2 linked regions of the Sus scrofa genome follow. The protein of the gene in region 1 purifies or fractionates together with the protein of each later gene. This does not show direct contact. Links are inferred from orthologs where the notes say so. Each region holds a gene or a part of one and is shown on either strand. Other genes may lie near its edges.

What was found. Proteins that work in one complex are often made in the same cells at the same time.
Region 2: the proteins of G6PD (region 1) and HARS fractionate together in Homo sapiens (co-fractionation; 3 studies listed by BioGRID). This does not show direct contact. The link is inferred for Sus scrofa from reciprocal best matches to the Homo sapiens genes G6PD and HARS1.

What each region holds. Positions count from the first base shown.
Region 1 is NC_010461.5:125,036,337-125,044,588, forward strand, and holds the start of G6PD (glucose-6-phosphate 1-dehydrogenase), read right to left. Parts: upstream 4,705-8,252; 5' UTR 4,685-4,704; coding exon of another isoform or gene 4,604-4,684; 5' UTR 4,352-4,603; coding exon 4,240-4,351; intron 4,113-4,239; exon of another isoform or gene 3,967-4,112; intron 3,415-3,966; coding exon 3,287-3,414; intron 271-3,286; exon of another isoform or gene 1-270. Other genes in the region: IKBKG (NF-kappa-B essential modulator), read left to right, coding at 4,604-4,684. UniProt on the Homo sapiens protein: Catalyzes the rate-limiting step of the oxidative pentose-phosphate pathway, which represents a route for the dissimilation of carbohydrates besides glycolysis.
Region 2 is NC_010444.4:142,388,840-142,396,528, forward strand, and holds part of HARS (histidine--tRNA ligase, cytoplasmic), read right to left. Parts: intron 7,561-7,689; coding exon 7,441-7,560; intron 4,942-7,440; coding exon 4,846-4,941; intron 3,920-4,845; coding exon 3,794-3,919; intron 2,903-3,793; coding exon 2,795-2,902; intron 2,653-2,794; coding exon 2,554-2,652; intron 2,323-2,553; coding exon 2,229-2,322; intron 2,006-2,228; coding exon 1,554-2,005; intron 1-1,553. UniProt on the Homo sapiens protein: Catalyzes the ATP-dependent ligation of histidine to the 3'-end of its cognate tRNA, via the formation of an aminoacyl-adenylate intermediate (His-AMP). Plays a role in axon guidance.

The DNA.
Region 1 (8,252 bases):
TGGGAAGCGGCAGCGCCACAGCCCGCACCCACCTCCCACCTCCCTGGCCTTCTGGGCACCGGGAATGTTTGCTTCGATCAAATTCCAGCGGGCTGCGACCAACTGGGACCGGTCTCCTGCCTGCTGAGTCACGGTGTGCCCCACACCCCGCGCTGTCTGGTCTCGCCGTGCCCTTTGGGATTAAGCAGCGACAGAACCTGCTTGCTTCAGTCAGCTCAGCCCCCAAACCAGCGGCCCGCTGGGCTCCAGGTCACCCATGGGAACGGCGAGGTAGGACCCAGGACAGCGGGGACAGGGGGCCCACCTGGGCCAGACTCCTCTGTGCGAAGGAAGCCGTGTGGGGAGGGGCACACCGCGTGCGGGGGCGGCTGAGGGCCAAGGGCTCCTGGCGGGGAGGCGGTGGGAGGCCTTTCATCTCCCCCAACCCCCCTTCTGCCTGCGGACCAGAGCAGGGGAGGAACCGCCTGGGGACACTCAGTGACTTTGCAGGAGAAGCAAGACCTGATTAAGACTTCCGGCTGCCAGGAACAGGAAAGGGCCCGGCTGGGGCATAGGGACCTGGGGCACCACCTGCCTGTCACCGCCCAGATCTGACCTCAGTCTCCAGGTCTCTAAAGTCTCAGTCCCTGAGTGTTTCCGGGCCGAGGGTGCGGCAGTGAACTCTGGAGGCCCGGCAGGGGTGGGCCATCCTTGTCCCCCTGTGGTCACTCGGGTCAAGGACCCACCCAGCCCCTGAGGCGAGAGAACCTGGGGCTGGCGAGCCAGGCTGGGCCGCAAAAGCAACAAAACGGCCCTCCCTCCTACACCCGGGGCCCATGAATCACCGGCCTTTGGGGGTGCGCCAGCGTCACCATGACACAGCAAGAACCTTATCGGCCCAGTGGCGGGGGCGGGGGGGGGGGGGAGCTCAGAAACACCCTGAGGACAGGGAGGGTCCAGGGACCTTGTGGGCTGGGTGGGGATCTGAGGCTGAGGGGTGAGGGGCGAGGGACCCTCCGGCAGCCAGGCAGCCAATCTTGCCCGAGGGCTCCCAGGCCCTTCTCCTGCCCTCCCCCCCTCCTCCGCCATCTCCGGTGGGGGGGGGGAGTGGCCCCAGCCTGGCCGAGGTCCTATCAGATGGGGGCAGACGCATCTGCCAGACCCAACGGTACTCTGTTCTCGCAGAAACGGAATCCTTTCATTCCAGAGCTCTCTGGACTGGGACAGTGAGTTAGCTCCTCTCCCTTCCTGCTGACGTGAGAGTCCCGAGAAGGGAAGAGAGAGTGGCCTAAAGCCATTGGGTAACTCCTGAGCAGCACTGGGCCGCCCCCAGGAAGGAAGTGGGGCGTGCGGGCAACGGGTGGGCAGGCAGGCGAGGGCGAAGCGGCAGAGGACAGCCCGGGGCTCCAGGTCTGCTCTTCCCTCCGGGTGCCAGGCTCCTGTGGCCCTGGCTCTGCGGACACCAAGGCCTGCTGGTGTCTTCTGTCACATGCGCTCACCCTGGGCCCCCGCCAGGCTGGGGAGCAGGGGCTCCAGCACGCGCCGTGCCAGACGGCTGAACGAACAGAGACCTCACTGGTTTCCTGGAGCAGCAGGTTCCGGATGGGAGGCCGAGCTCAGACCCTGCTGCTCCGTGCAACCAGCAAGTTCTCTGTGCGGCTGCTGCCACCCCCTGGGGAGGAGGGAGGGAGGGACACCTTAGAGGGTGGCGGGGGGCGGGAGCTGTTCCAGGTGCTGCCCGAGCCAGCCCCGAGCCGGGGCGCCCCCAAGCCTGGGCGCCCCTGCCGAGCAGGAGGAGGGAGAAACAAACAAGGAGGCTCCTCCCCCAGGACCCCCGGCGCCCCCACTCCACCTGCAGAGCCGCCCCGGAGCAGAGGAGAGCAAAGGGGAACCCAGCCGATTGCAAAGACACGAAGTTGCCTAACCCAGAGCCAGGCCACAAGAGAAGGCCACCAGGGGTCAGAGGGTCGGCTCCGCAGGGCCCTGGGCACTTGTTTCAAAAGCCCTCAGTCGATAAGTGGAGACAACGAGGGAAAAGACACTTGGCCCAGGTCACACCTGGCTGCTCTCGGCGAGGCGCAGCGCCTGGGGCCACGGGCCACTTCCGGAGGCCTGCGACAGGCTGGGGTGGGGATGGAGGAAGGAGGAAAAACCATCCGGGTTCTTGGATGAAGGGCCGAATGGTCAGAGTTCCAAGTGTTAAGGTTTGAGGCTCCTCTAAGCGGACCGGGCTGGGGCCAGGGTGCAGGATAAGCCTGTCCCCCTGTGTGTTCCTCCTGCGCACCCCCCAGTCGCCGGGTGACAAAGGTTCAAGGGATAGTGCTTAAGGTAGCCTTCGCCTTCTGGCTCTCCTTTTCCAAGTCCTGCCCAGAATCACAAAGTCGGCAGGGAGCAGGCGGTGAGTTCCCCAGAGCTGAGAGGACAGCAGCGTGGAAGGCACAGAGGGACAGTGGCCTGCCCTGTCAAGAGCTAAGGAGTTCCGGTAGGACTCTCGCTCAAGGTCTATACAGTAAGTTACCCGCAAAGCAGTGGATGCCACGGGTAGCAGATTCTTGGTCACATCCAAGGTTAAGAGGGAAAAGAGGACACAGATCACTTGCACAGGAAACCCCAGCAGGCCGCCTGCGTCTTGCCCCATGGGAGAGCTTGGGTCGCACGGCACGGCATGCAGAGGGAGTTTAGGCTGCGGGTCATGGCTCTCTGAGGAGCCACCCCCTTCTGTGTCTACTCTTTGGCCTTTCTGATCAGAGCAAAATGGCAGGTCCACTGGCTAGACAATGGGGCTGGTCGTAGCTCCTGAGCAGGCCCTAGAAGCTGGGGCAAAGAGATGCTGCTCAAAGCAAAGTTGAGTGTTTGTCCTCACGGAACCTGACGTGGCAGACACAAGGTGGAGATCAGACCTCAGATCCTACCTCTGGAACTAAACTGACTTCACGCCGTTTACCAAGTCAGACGCGAGTTTGGAAAACACACTCCCAGAATGAACAGCTTCCCCTGTTTGCCTCTCACTTTTCCCCACGGAGGAGGAAGTCCAAGCACACAGCCCCTGCGGACCTCCGGGCTCCAGGGCATGAGGCTGCAGCCAATGGCTGCACACAGACTTCAGCAAGGCCTTGCAATACGCCTACACCAGGGGGTGCTGGGGTGATAGTGGCGCAAGAGCAGGAGGGAGAGCCCAGCCAAGCAGAGCTGGAGAGGCCCTATAACAAGCAGGTGGGCGAGCCCAGGCACGGAGAGGGAAGGGACCTAAGCCATGTCCTGCTCTAAGTCTGCTGCATTTAAGATGTGGGGCCTGGGGGAGACTCACCGATGCTCCCATGATGATAAAGATATGTGTATCCGACTGATGGAAAGCATCGCCCTGGTACAGCTCTTCCCGCAGGATCCCGCACACTTGGGTCCGGCTCAGAGCCACCTGCTCTGCCATGGTACTCTCTGGAGGAAAAAAAACTTATTGATGAGGCAGGAGAACCGGAAAGCACTGAGAAGCTGGCTGGCCCCTTTCTGGAGGAGTCCTTTGGGCTCTCGTCCAGCTGATGCCTGATTACTGAAACCACTTGGTGGGAATGGCTGCGAGCAGGATGGTTGGGGGATGAGAAACTGCTGGCTCTGGTCATACTCTCCAGACAGCCTTCTTTCAGCGTGTACATTACAACATTACTCTAAGCATTAGTGGACTCCAACGAGGGCCTCAGCTCTGGGGGAGTAACACCAAGCTGGAACATCGGACCACCTGCTAAGGCCATCTCACCAAGGATTCAGGCGGAAGCTCCTCAATGAGCTGGAGCAAGTTAGATCAAGCAGCTGACAGTGTAGATCTAGTCCTCCTCCACCACCGCTGGGAGACCCCGGCCAATCCCCGCCCCTCTCGGGGTCCCCTCAGGGGCCCAATGGGGGTATGCAGGGGACGGTTAGATCAGTTAACACCCTCTCGATTTTGCCCCCTTCCCAAGCGTGGCAAATCAAAGCGTTCGCCCACTCAGTTACCTGTGCTTCACCGCTGCTGCCCTTCGCGCTCGCAGCCCCGGAGTTCCCGGCAGTTTCCTGGGGCTGCGCCCCGCCTGCCCATTTAACTGGCGGGGGCGGGCACCTGGTCTGAGCTGACCAGCCTCAGGCGAGGCGCGCGGGCGGGGCCTCCGTGTGCCCCTCCCCCGAGAGGCGGGGCGAGGCAGGTGCGCGCGCATCTCGGGCCGGTGGGACCCCCCCCCCCCCGCTCCCGCGCGAGGCCTGCCGGCCTGACCCGCTCCGCCCCTTGAGCACCTGCGCCGGCCGCCGGGCTGCGGGCCCCCTGCTGTCCTCGCCGCCGCTGCGCCGTGTCCCCGATGCTTCGCGAGTCCGTGTGCAGCTCCCCACAGCTCGCCCGCGTTCCCATCCCTGGCCTGGCCCCGCCCCTACAGTCTGGCTTTCTCGTCAGCCCGGGGTTGTCCTGCGCCCTCAAGAAGGGCTCCACTTCCGCCGGCAGCGTGGTCACGCCCCTCGACCCCACTTGTAGGCGGGGCCCTCTTTAGCCTCGCCCCCTCACTGGACGGGTCGTCGACTCCGATCAAACTGGCCCTATCACATGATAGCCTCGTCGTGGCTCCTCCCCTAGTGGGGGCGGGGCAGCCGACCTGCCGCTCGCTGGATGCCGCCGCCGGAGAGACAAGGGGAAATGCGGGTCGCGACGCATATTATTGAAGAGTGTCCTACGGGCCAGCCGAGCCTGGTACGCTCGGGCTTCCGTCTGGGGACAAGTCTCCCTCGCGCCTCTCGCGGGCCTGCTGGGGGCGGGGTGGGGGCGGAGTGTGAGTGTTTTACTTCCGGATCCCACAGCTACGACACCGGAAGCAGGAAATGGGAATTTGGCAGCCCGAGAAGGGAAGGGCGACCGCGGAACCCGAACTTTCTCCGAGCGCCGGGGTCCGAGGAGCGCTCGGGACCCGCCGCTCCCGCCCTTCTCACGTCGGACCGACTCTGCTGACAGGTGTGGTCCTCTTCTCCGAAGATAGGGTACTATTGGTGGGCGTTCCGCCACCTCCGAGACCCCCCCTGGACGACCAGGCTTTCCCCTCCTATTGGGCCCCGGCCCGGTTCTGCCGCCCGCTTCTAGATCACCCGCCGAGGCTGGCCAATTCAGGACCCAGGTTACTCTGGCGACGAGCGGGGCAGTTTTCGCCTCTCCTTCCTCTGCCGCGGCGGAGTCTGACCACACCCCTAGTTCGTGGATGACTATTCTACTTCGGAGACATTTTCTGTTCATCGAACTTGACTACATTTGAAGTTGTTAAGTTCTTTAAAAAAGCCTCAAGGGTAATTTGACAGCTAAGCATCTTTCCTCATGCGCTTCATTTTGCTCACTTTGCACAACGGTTAATGTCTGCCGGACCTCATATCAGTTCTGTGACTTGAGGATGAATGGGCCATAAGGAGGCCACTATACCTGGAATAGAGTGAGCGAGGGGGGAATAGTTAGAGAGGAAGCAATGGGGGACCAGATAGTGCACGGCCTACTATCTTGTTGTACGGGTTGTGGCTTTTTGGCGGAGGGCCATGAGGAACTATGGTAGGGATCTGGATAGAGGAGAGACGTGGTAGGAATTACCTTTTGGTCTGATTGTTCTGGCGCGGTGGGTAGAACAGACTGTACGTAGGGGGCAAGGGTTGGAGCAAGGTGATCTGCTAGGAGGTTATTGCAGTTATCCAGGTGAGAGATGATGGGGCTCGGATCGTTTTATTGTGAAAAATACCAAAGATGTGCAAAAGTAGAAAGGATAGTATAAACCCAAGGTACCCACCTCCCAGCGTCAACAGTTATCAACCTGTTGCTACCTTTGCTTAATTTATACCCCTCATAATCTCTTATTTTCAAAAATAGCTTTATTGACATATAATTCACATACCACACAATTCACCCATTGAAAGTGAACAATTCACTGCTTTTCAGTATATTCACACACCTGCACAACCATCACCATTCATTCTCGAACATTTTCATCAACCCATCACCTTATCTACTTCAGTTCTAAGCATCTATTAGTCTTTCCATCTCTCTATGTTTGCCTATTCTGGATAGTTCACATAAATGGACTCATAATATGTGGTTTCTTGTGAGCTGTTTCTCTGTGTTGCTCAGTGTTTTTTTTTTTTTTTTTTTTTTTTTTTTTTTTTTTGTCTTTTTGCCATTTCTTGGACCGCTCCCGGGCATATGGAGGTTCCCAGGCTAGGGGTCCAATCAGAGCTGTAGCCGCCGGCCTACACCAGAGCCACAGCAATGTGGGATCTGAGCCGTGTCTGCAACCTACACCACAGCTCAGGGCAACGCCGGATCGTTAACCCACTGAGCAAGGGCAGGGATCGAACCCGCAACCTCATGGTTCCTAGTCGGATTCGTTAACCACTGCGCCACTCCTGCTCAATATTATTAACATGGTAGGGTAGGAATGTACTAGATTGTGTTTATTCATCAGTCGATGGACATGTAGGTCATTTCCACCCTTTGGCCGCTAAGAGCAGTCTCACGTGGACCTGTGTTTTCATTTTTCTCAGGTACATACCGAGCAGGTCCCCCATTACCTTGAACCAAATTCCAGGCACCTTATAATTTCGCTGTAAATGTTTCAGGATGCATCTCTAAGAATGGACTTTGAAAGAAACAACCACAGTACCAAGTATCACACCTAAAATAAGTTAACATTAATTGCTTAGTGTCCTCAAATAGATTCTAAGATACCTTTTGACGGGATTTCCCAATGGATTAGACGTGAGCCCTGAGGGCCAGAGAGGACTCAAGAAGGACTCCCAGGTTGTGTCCTGCTGACCGGAGGGTGGACGTGCTGTCACCTAATAATAAGGGAGGCTGTGGGTGGAGCCGGCTTCTGGGGACTGTGAGCAGTGCAGTTCTGGAGAGGTGAGTTTTGAGAGGAGGATTAGATGTCCAGCCTGAGATGCTGAGTTTGATGCATGGGGGTTAAAGCTGGGAGTCTGGATGGAATTAGCGCTGGAGTAGCTGTAGTTAGAGAAAAGATGAGATCCCAGAAAGGAGCCCCGGAGCATCACAGCATGAAAAGTGTGGCGAGGATGGTCCACGGAAAGAGCCAGAGCAGGAGCAGCCAGTGAAGTGGTGGCTGTTCTGGACTCAGGGCTCAGCGGTTGGTCAGATAGTGCTGGTGGGTCAGGGGGTTATTCAGAGAAGTATCAGTGTAACAGCGAAACGTCCCAGCTTGTTTGGTGTTAAACGTCTCTAGCTGCAGCTCAGGCTCTCTCCTGGAAGCTTCTTTTGGGATCGGCTTCCTCCTCCATGTAGTCGGTTTTCTTGGGCAGGATTTAAAAGGGCTCCGGGCGGGTGCTGTCCCGCAGAGCGCCCCCCTGCCCCCGCCTCTAGTTCACAGGACGATGCACACAGCTCAGCCTGACTCTCGGCCCTGCCACCTTAGGCTGCAAGCCCAGCTCCCGCTTTCGGGTGCTCAGCTCCAGGGAATGCCCACCAGGTTCTGAGTGGTCTCTGTGAAGCCCTTCTCACTAGGTACATTGATTTCCTAGGCTGCCGTGAGAGAGTCCAAGGCAGATGGCTTAAGACAACAGCATTTGTCCTCTCTCCGTTCTGGAAACCAGGAGCCTGAAGTCAGGGCGTGGCAGGGCCCTGTTCCCTCTGGGGGCGCCAGGGGAGGGTCCTTCCTGCCTCTTCCAGCCTGTGGTGGCTCCAGGCATCTCTGGGCTGGGGCCGCATCACTCCAGTCTCTGCATCTTCACGTGGCTTCTTCTGTGTCTGTCTCTCCTTTTGTGTCTCTTAGAAGGACACTCATCATTGGATTTAGGGCTCCCCTGATCCAGGAGGACCTCATTTCAGATCCTTCACTTGTATTACATCCTTTTCCTTCTTTCCTTTTCCCTTTCCCTTTTTTTTTTTTTTTTTTTTTTTTTTTTTTTGCTTTTTAGGGCTACACTTGAGGTATATGGAAGTTCCCAGGCTAGGGGTCTCATTGGAGCTGCAGCTGCCAGCCCACATGAGTGAGAGCCACAGTGACACGGGATCTGAGCTGCGTCTGTGACCTATACCACAGCTCACGGCAATACTGATCCTTAACCCGCTGTGTGAGGCCAGGGATCGAACCTGCATCCTTATGGATACTAGTTGGGTTCTTAACCAGCTGAGCCACAATGGGAACTCCAACAAATCCCCTTTCCCAATCAGTCCCGGTTCCGGGGCCCAGGGAGTGGACCCATCTTACTGCTTGGAGGTGTGGGGAGGGTGGGCATTCCAGCACAGCGACCCCTGCCTCCCAACCTCATCTCCG
Region 2 (7,689 bases), on another chromosome or scaffold:
CCAACTCTGCCAGAGCAAGCCAGTCTTCTCATCTAGCAACTGGGCAAACAGTAGTTCTTAGAAGAATAAGAAATGAACTGACTGGGTGTTCCCGCTGTGGTGCAGCGGAAACGAATCCGACTAAGAACCATGAAGTCAAGGGTTCGATCCCTGGCCTTGCTCAGTGGGTTAAGGATCTGGCCTTGCCGTGAGCTGTGGTGTAGGGTGCAAATGTGGCTCAGCTACTGTGTTGCTGTGGCTGTGGGTGTAGACCAGCAGCTGTAGCTCCATTCGACCCCTAGCCTGGGAACCTCCATATGCTGCGGGTGCGGCCCTAAAAAGCAAAAAAGAAATGACCTGACTGGCTTGTGTGTGACTTGCCAGAATAAATAATGTAGGGCAGGAGTTCCCTGGTAGCTCAGTGGGATAAGGGTTGGTGTTATTGCTGCTGTGGCATGGGTTCGATCCCTGGCTGAGAACTTCTTTGAGTTGTGGGTATGCCCCCCTGCCCCCCCCCCCAATGCAGGGCACAGGTAGCTCATGTATAGTAACTTCAAGCTTATCTCCACCTAGAACCTTATGGGTCCACAGGAGCATTCACAAGAAAGTGACATTCTGAGCTCACCCAGGTAAGCCGGTTCCCCCTGGCAGTTCTAGTTCCCACTTGCTATTTGTCCAGTCAAGAGGCTGTGACTCTTACACTTCAGCCACAAGGCACAAATCGGGGGTTGTGTGGGTAGAGGGGAGACAGAATGCTGCTGCTGCTGCTGCTGCCAGCATCTTTTTATGGAAAACTCCTCTTATTGTTCTTAAAACATAAGATGCCTGCTGCAACAGTGACCTCACTGGAAAACGCGAGTGGTTTTCACTCTAGAGAAGAGGATGGGAGGCGGCGGAAGGTGACTGCCAGAGCACTCCCCCGGAGGAACTAGAATCAGCCACTTAAGAGCAGCAGCAACAGAGGTGCGCTTGAGGCCACCAAGGGCGTTCCTCGTGTGACTCTAGGTGCTGGAGAGTCCAGAGAACCATCTGAGGGATCCTGGAGCCGCAGACACATGCTTCCCACTTAGAGACGAAATCGCAAGCTGGCTGGGAGCCTGGATTCAAATTCTGACTCTGCCACTTATATCTTGGGTAAATTATTTGATCTATAATCTTCAGTTTCCTTGTCTAAGAAATGTAAATAATAAAAGCAGCTCCTGTCAGAGGGCTATTTAGGAATTTTATTAGACAATGCATGAAAAGCACTAAGCACCGTGCCTGGCACAGGGTAGTAAAATATTAAGTATTTTGTATTATGAGGACAATCCAGGTCTTTGGACACAGTGGCCTAGATTCCCGACAGCCCCGAGGGAAACAGGGACCCAGAGCCAAGGGTTTGGTGAAGAAAGAAGGGTCAGAGCTCCATCAGGCTGGCCTATAATGGGGCGGAAGTCCGTGAAGGACAGCAATTATCTTTTGCAAGTTCCTTTGCAAAGAGGCTCCTTGTCCAAAGCAGTACTGCTTGCCTCCTTGGAAGATAGCTCAGGTGCCACCAGCTGCCAGAATGTCGCCCACCCAGCCCCAAGACCTACCTCCAGCCTCTGCTCGACGATGGAGAAGATCCGCTCTACCCCAATGCTGAGTCCCACGCACGGCACCTTGCGCCCTTTGGGGTCAAACATGCCCACCAGCCCATCATAGCGCCCTCCAGCGGCCACACTGCCCACACCCAGGGGTTCTTCTCCAGCTTGGGCAGGGGGCTGCAGCAGCACCGCCTCATAGATCACCCCGGTATAGTAGTCCAGCCCTCGAGCAAGGCTCAGGTCGAAGGAGATCTGGGGGGATAAGAGCAAGCTCAGTTCCGGATGAGGCTCAAGGTCCTCCAGCCCCAGGGCTCCCGCATCAAACGGACTCACCTTGTCAGCGACGCCAAACAGGGTCAGGTATTCAAATAGCAGCTTCAGGTCTCCCAGGCCCTCCAAGGCCTGTTTGTTTTGGGACAGTTTAGGATCCTGGAGTAGCTGTTCCACCAGGGATACCCCGCCTAGGGAGACAGATTTGTGAGCCAGACTAATGAGAAAAAGGTAAGGGCTCTACCTTTTCCTCTGGACCACTTGCGCAGGCAGGCCTGTGTGCAGACACACACACACACACACACACACACACACACTCCCCCTCTCTCCTGTGCATCTACACACACAGAGGAGCTTGGGCTTTAGGCTTGAGGACAGTGGGACGGCTGCCGGGGAGGCGGGTTGGTTGCTCACCGTGCTGTTGGACGTAGTCCCCAATGCGGTCGGCCACCTCGGGTGCCAGGCCCTTCTCTCCCACCATCTCATTCTTTACTTCTTCCCAGGACATCTGGGCAGACAGATGCCGCCAGTCAGGGACCCCCTGGGCAGCTTCTCCACTGCCAGCAAGTGTGGGCCTCCTAGAGTGGCGGTCTTGAGCAGAACCTGCCCGCCAGCCTACATCCTGGGGTGTCTTCCTCTGGGGGGGACGGAGGCAGGGCCCTCTCGCTCCTCATCATTTCCACTTCACAGGGCAGGGAGGGGGTCCATGAAAAGACGAGTTGAGTGCTGGGGTCGTTACCTTGTCCAGCTTGTCCACCGAGGAGCAGATGGTGCGGAACTTGGTGTCAGGAACACCGCAGATGGCAAACAGCCCATCCAGGATGCGCCGATCATTCACCTGCAGCAGTGAGGAGCAGAGGCTCCCGCTACATGCCACGCAACAGCCTTGGACGCGTGCGCTACTGGTCCCTCTGCACCAGGACCTGCTCCTGTGAGAGGCCAGGCCCAGCTGTGCCCTCCCAGCCCCACTGAGCGCTGACCTTGACCAGAAAATCGCCTATCTGGAGTGAACTCAGGATTTCACACATGATCTTCAGGCACTCCGCATCGGGAATCATGGGGTCAAACTGCCCGGCAATGTCAAAGTCCTGCAGGGACAGGGGGAGTGAGAGGTCCTCGGGGGTTAACCTGTTTGGGGGGAGGACCCTTGGGGGCTCTGCTCTCTAGGAAGGAGGCCTCCTTGGACTCACGTGCAGAGCCCCTTCTTCATGCTGTTGGTCTGTCAGCCCAGAGCAACACCTCAGCCTCCCGGGTCCCTTCCCAGTCCTGGTTTCCTTCCCATCTGTTGGGCTAGTCTCTCATTATCTCACTCGTCTCTTTTCCCTTCTTTCCTTCCACTGTCCTGGGGCCCTCTGCAGCCTTCATCATTTTCTCTGTTCATTCAGAAGCTCTGCTGCCACTCTGGTCAATGATACCTCGAAGCCAATTCTTTTATCCATCGCTGTGATTCTATCACTATGGTTTAATATAAAGAGCACTGGACCAAGAGTTCTAATCTGGCCTTTCTTTGTGTTGTGTTTTTTTTTTTTAAGGGCCGCACCTGTGGCATATGGAGGTTCCCAGGCTGGGGGTGGAAGTGGAGCTGTAGCTGCCACCACAGCCACAGCACTGCGGGATCCGAGCCCTGTGCGCGACCTACACCACAGCTCACAGCAACACCAGGTCCTTAACCCACTGAGCGAGGCCAGGGATCGAACTTGTGTCCTCGTGGATCCTAGTCAGGTTCCTTACCGCTGAGCCACACCGGGAACTCCCTAACTTTCTTTTCTTATCCCTATGATCCCCTCATCTGGCTGAGCCTCAAGATTACTCATACGTAAAATGAGGAGAATAATCCCTGCCCTGCAAGTGAAAATACTAAAGAAATCTCAGGCTTAACATTATCTGGGGCACCCAGTTTGTTCAGGACACCACGAGGACGCAACAGATTCCCCTGGCTTGCGGGAGGGCCACCTTAGCCGGCCTGCCCCCGAACTCACACACTGGTAGAATTCCCGATACCGGCCTCTGGTCATTGCTGGGTTATCCCGCCGATACACTTTGGCTATGTGGTAGCGTTTAATATTGGTCAGTTTATTCATTGCCAAGTATCGCGCAAAAGGAACCTGATGAGAGAGTTAAGGAGAAAGTCCCTCCTATCGCAGGCGGCAAGTGGATTATCACCACGAGCAGAAGCTGGGGTCCGACCCCACCCTCTGTGGGTAAAACCGGCACCGGTTAGATGAACAGCTTTCCTGTACCCCAGCAAGAACCACCTTCGCTACCGCAAGGGACAGCTGAAATCTCCAAAAACACTAAGGCTCTTTTCTTTGGGGGCTGAGCTGAGCACAGCAGGGGCTGGGCAGACTGGCCGGGGAGCAGCAAAAGGGCCCCGTGGAGGATCTCTAAGCGTATGATGCGCGGACGTAGCCTGGAGATAAAGGACACGTGCTGTTGGTCAACGAAAGAGAACTCTGCCCACCGGACAGGGCAAGTGAGACGGATTCTGGAGCCACGGGATTGCTGGCGGAGACCTGGGCCCTACCTAAAGCTGAGGTCCCGCTCAGGATTCACAGGCCTTCTTTTTTTTTTTTTTTTTTGTCTTTTGTCTTTGTTGTTGTTGTTGTTGTTGCTATTTCTTGGGCCGCTCCCGCAGCATATGGAGGTTCCCAGGCTAGGGGTCCAGTCGGAGCTGTAGCCACCGGCCTACGCCAGAGCCACAGCAACGCGGGATCCGAGCCGCGTCTGCAACCTACACCACAGCTCACGGCAACGCCAGATCGTTAACCCACTGAGCAAGTGCAGGGACCGAACCCACAACCTCATGGTTCCTAGTCGGATTCGTTAACCACTGCGCCACGACGGGAACTCCTGGCCTTCTAAGGCTATAGTCTGTTTTGCCAATGTCTTGCTCCTGGTTTAGAGAAATAATTTCCCTGACTGCAAAATGCATCATAGTTGATCCCACCTGTGTCTAGCTGTCCCCAAGCCTGAAGCTAGAAAAAGCCCCAGTCCAGTTAAGGGCCAATCCATCCCAAGTGTAAAAAGATACAGTGAGGTCATAGCGGAGGGACAGCAGCTCGCCACCCTGGTCCTTCAGGTCATAGATAAGCTTAGAGTCTTCCCCGTACTTTCCAGTCAGTGTTTCCTGGAGAAAACAGAAAGAAATGGGATCACCCCGTAAGTATAACAATTTAACAGCAAGTTTTAAAAACAAAAACTACCACTCTCACATGACTGATTTCAGCCTATTTACTCTTCCTCTGCTCTCTCTTCCGATGTTTATTTATTTGATGTGGTTATAATCAAAAGGAAACCCCGCTTTTGTTTTCTATTTATCACATTTCCATTTTGTGACAGAGCAGAAGTACTATTTAAATTTTTTTTTTTTACTTTTTGCCTGTACCTGCAACATATAGAAGTTCCTGCATCAGGGATCAAACCCTTGCCACAGCAGCAAGCCCAGCCACTGCAGTGACAACGCCAGATCCTTATCCTGCTGGGCCACCAGAGGAACTCCCTGAAGAGTTATTTTTATTTCTATTATTTATTTATTTATTTACTTGTCTTTTTGTCTTTTCTAGGGCTGCACCTGCAGCATATGGAGGTTCCCAGGCTAGGGGTCCAATGGGAGCTGTAGCCGCCGGCCTACACCAGAGCCACAGGAACTGGGGATCTGAGATCCAAGCTGCATCTGCGACCTACACCACAGCTCACGGCAATGCCGGATCCTTAACCCACTGAGCAAGGCCAGGGACCGAACCTGAAACCTCATGGTTCCTAGTCGGATTCACTAACCACTGAGCCACGATGGGAGCTCCTGAAGTGTTACTTAAAAGCTGCATAATTCCAGTGAGAAGAAGCTCTGTATCTCCTTCCTGCCTAGTGTTTCACTAATAGATGTTTAGGCTATACCAACTGAAAAAAACCATTCTGAAACAATACATTTCTGTTGTTTGTTTGAGCCATCCAGTCTATGGCAGTTTGTTATGGCAGCCTTAGCAAACTAACATAGTTGGTAGAAATAGGATTGAGGTCACTCAGAAATTCTACTTCTGTGAATTTACCCTGCAGTTAAACACCGACAGTACCAGACACTGTTCTAAGCCCAGCATACACATCACATCCGTGAACAAAGGCAGCCCAGGCCCTCATGGATCTTCTATAGTCATGAGAAGAGACAGGCAGGACACTAATGCAAGGAAACCAAGTAACAGGTAATTAATTTTCTTTTTCAGCTGCACCTGCAGCATATGGACGTTCTGGGCTAGGGATCAAATCCAAGCTGGAGCTGTGACCTCGGCCACAGCTGCGGCAATCCTGGAACATCAGCCCAGTGCGCCAGGCTGAGGACTGAAGCAACAGCTCCACAGAGACCAGCTGGATCGTGAACCTGCTGCACTGCAGTGGGAACACCTATTTACTCATTTATTTTGGCTGAGGTGTGCAGCTGCTTGATGTGGGATCTCAGTTCCCAGACCAGGTATTGAACTCTGGCCACAGTGGTGCAAGCACTGAGTCCTAACCACTAAACCACCAGGAATTCCCAAGAACAGTTTCTTTTCATTTGGCTGCGCATTGGTGAGGGATTGAACTCACACCACTGCAATGACCTAAGCAACAGCAGTGGCAATGCCAGATCCTCTAACCTTTGGGCCACCATGGAACTCCCCGAGAACTTTTTTTTTTTGGCTGCTCCACGGCATATGGAGCTCCCAGGGATCAGATCTGAGCTGCAGTTACGACCCAAGCCACAGCTGCAGCAATGCCAGATCCATAACCCACTGTGCCGGGCCGGAACTCCCTAAGAATTTTGCCTTTTTTTTTTTTGCTTCGAAGCTACGGCTGCTGGCCTACCTCACAGCCACAGCAATGCGGGATCCAAGCCATGTCTGCCACCTACACCACAGCTCACAGCAATGCCCGATCGCTGGCCCACTGAGTGAGGCCAGGGATCAAACGTGTATCCTCATGGATACTAGTCGGATTTGTTTCTACTGGGAACTCCCAAGAACTGTCTTTTTTTAATAGCAAAGAACTGGAAACAACCTCAAGGTCAATCAGTGAGGAGACTGGCTGCATACTTATCCTTTACATGTTTGGTCTGCATGTACCTGGGACAAACTCAAGGACAGGTGCCATGGAATTCAGTGTAGACAGGAGCCACACCAATGTCCACTCCTGAGAGGTGCTCTCTTTTGGAAGCTGCTGGCCACAACGAAGGTAAATTAAAAAGCAGGGCCTCGAAGTTCCCTTTGTGGGGAAGCGGAATTGAATCCGACGAGGCACCATGAGGTTGTGGGTTTGATCCCCAGCCTGGCTCAGTGGGGTGAGGATCCGGCGTTGCCGTGAGCTGTGGGGTAGGTCGCAGATGCGCCTCGGCTCCCGTGTTGCTGTGGCTGTGGTGTAGGCCGGCAGCTGTAGCTCCAATTCAACCCCTAGCCTGGGAACCTCCATATGCTGCAGGTGGGGCCCTAAAAAAAAGCAGAAAAAAAAAAAAACAGGGCCTCTCCCTCTATGCCAGTCCCGTGCTGCTTCTCCTGGAGAAAAGATCCACATTCTTCTGCAACAAGAGAGAGCCCTTTGGGCCTCACTGGCCTGCCCTCCTCTTTGTTGTCCGTGCAGCTCCTCTTCGTCCCTCACTCACCTTCAGTTCAAACACAGGAGTGTCGATCACTTCCGCACCGTGGCGCTTGAAGCAGCCGATGATCACGTCAAACACCTTCTCCCGAACGGCCATCTGCCGGGGACTGTAGTCTCTCGTGCCCTTGGAGACAACAGGGATGGGGTTTCAAAACTAAGACGAAGAAGGTCTAGAAATACATATACGTATATATATATATATATATTTTTTTTTGTCTTTTTGCCTTTTCTAGGGCCGCTCCCACGGCATATG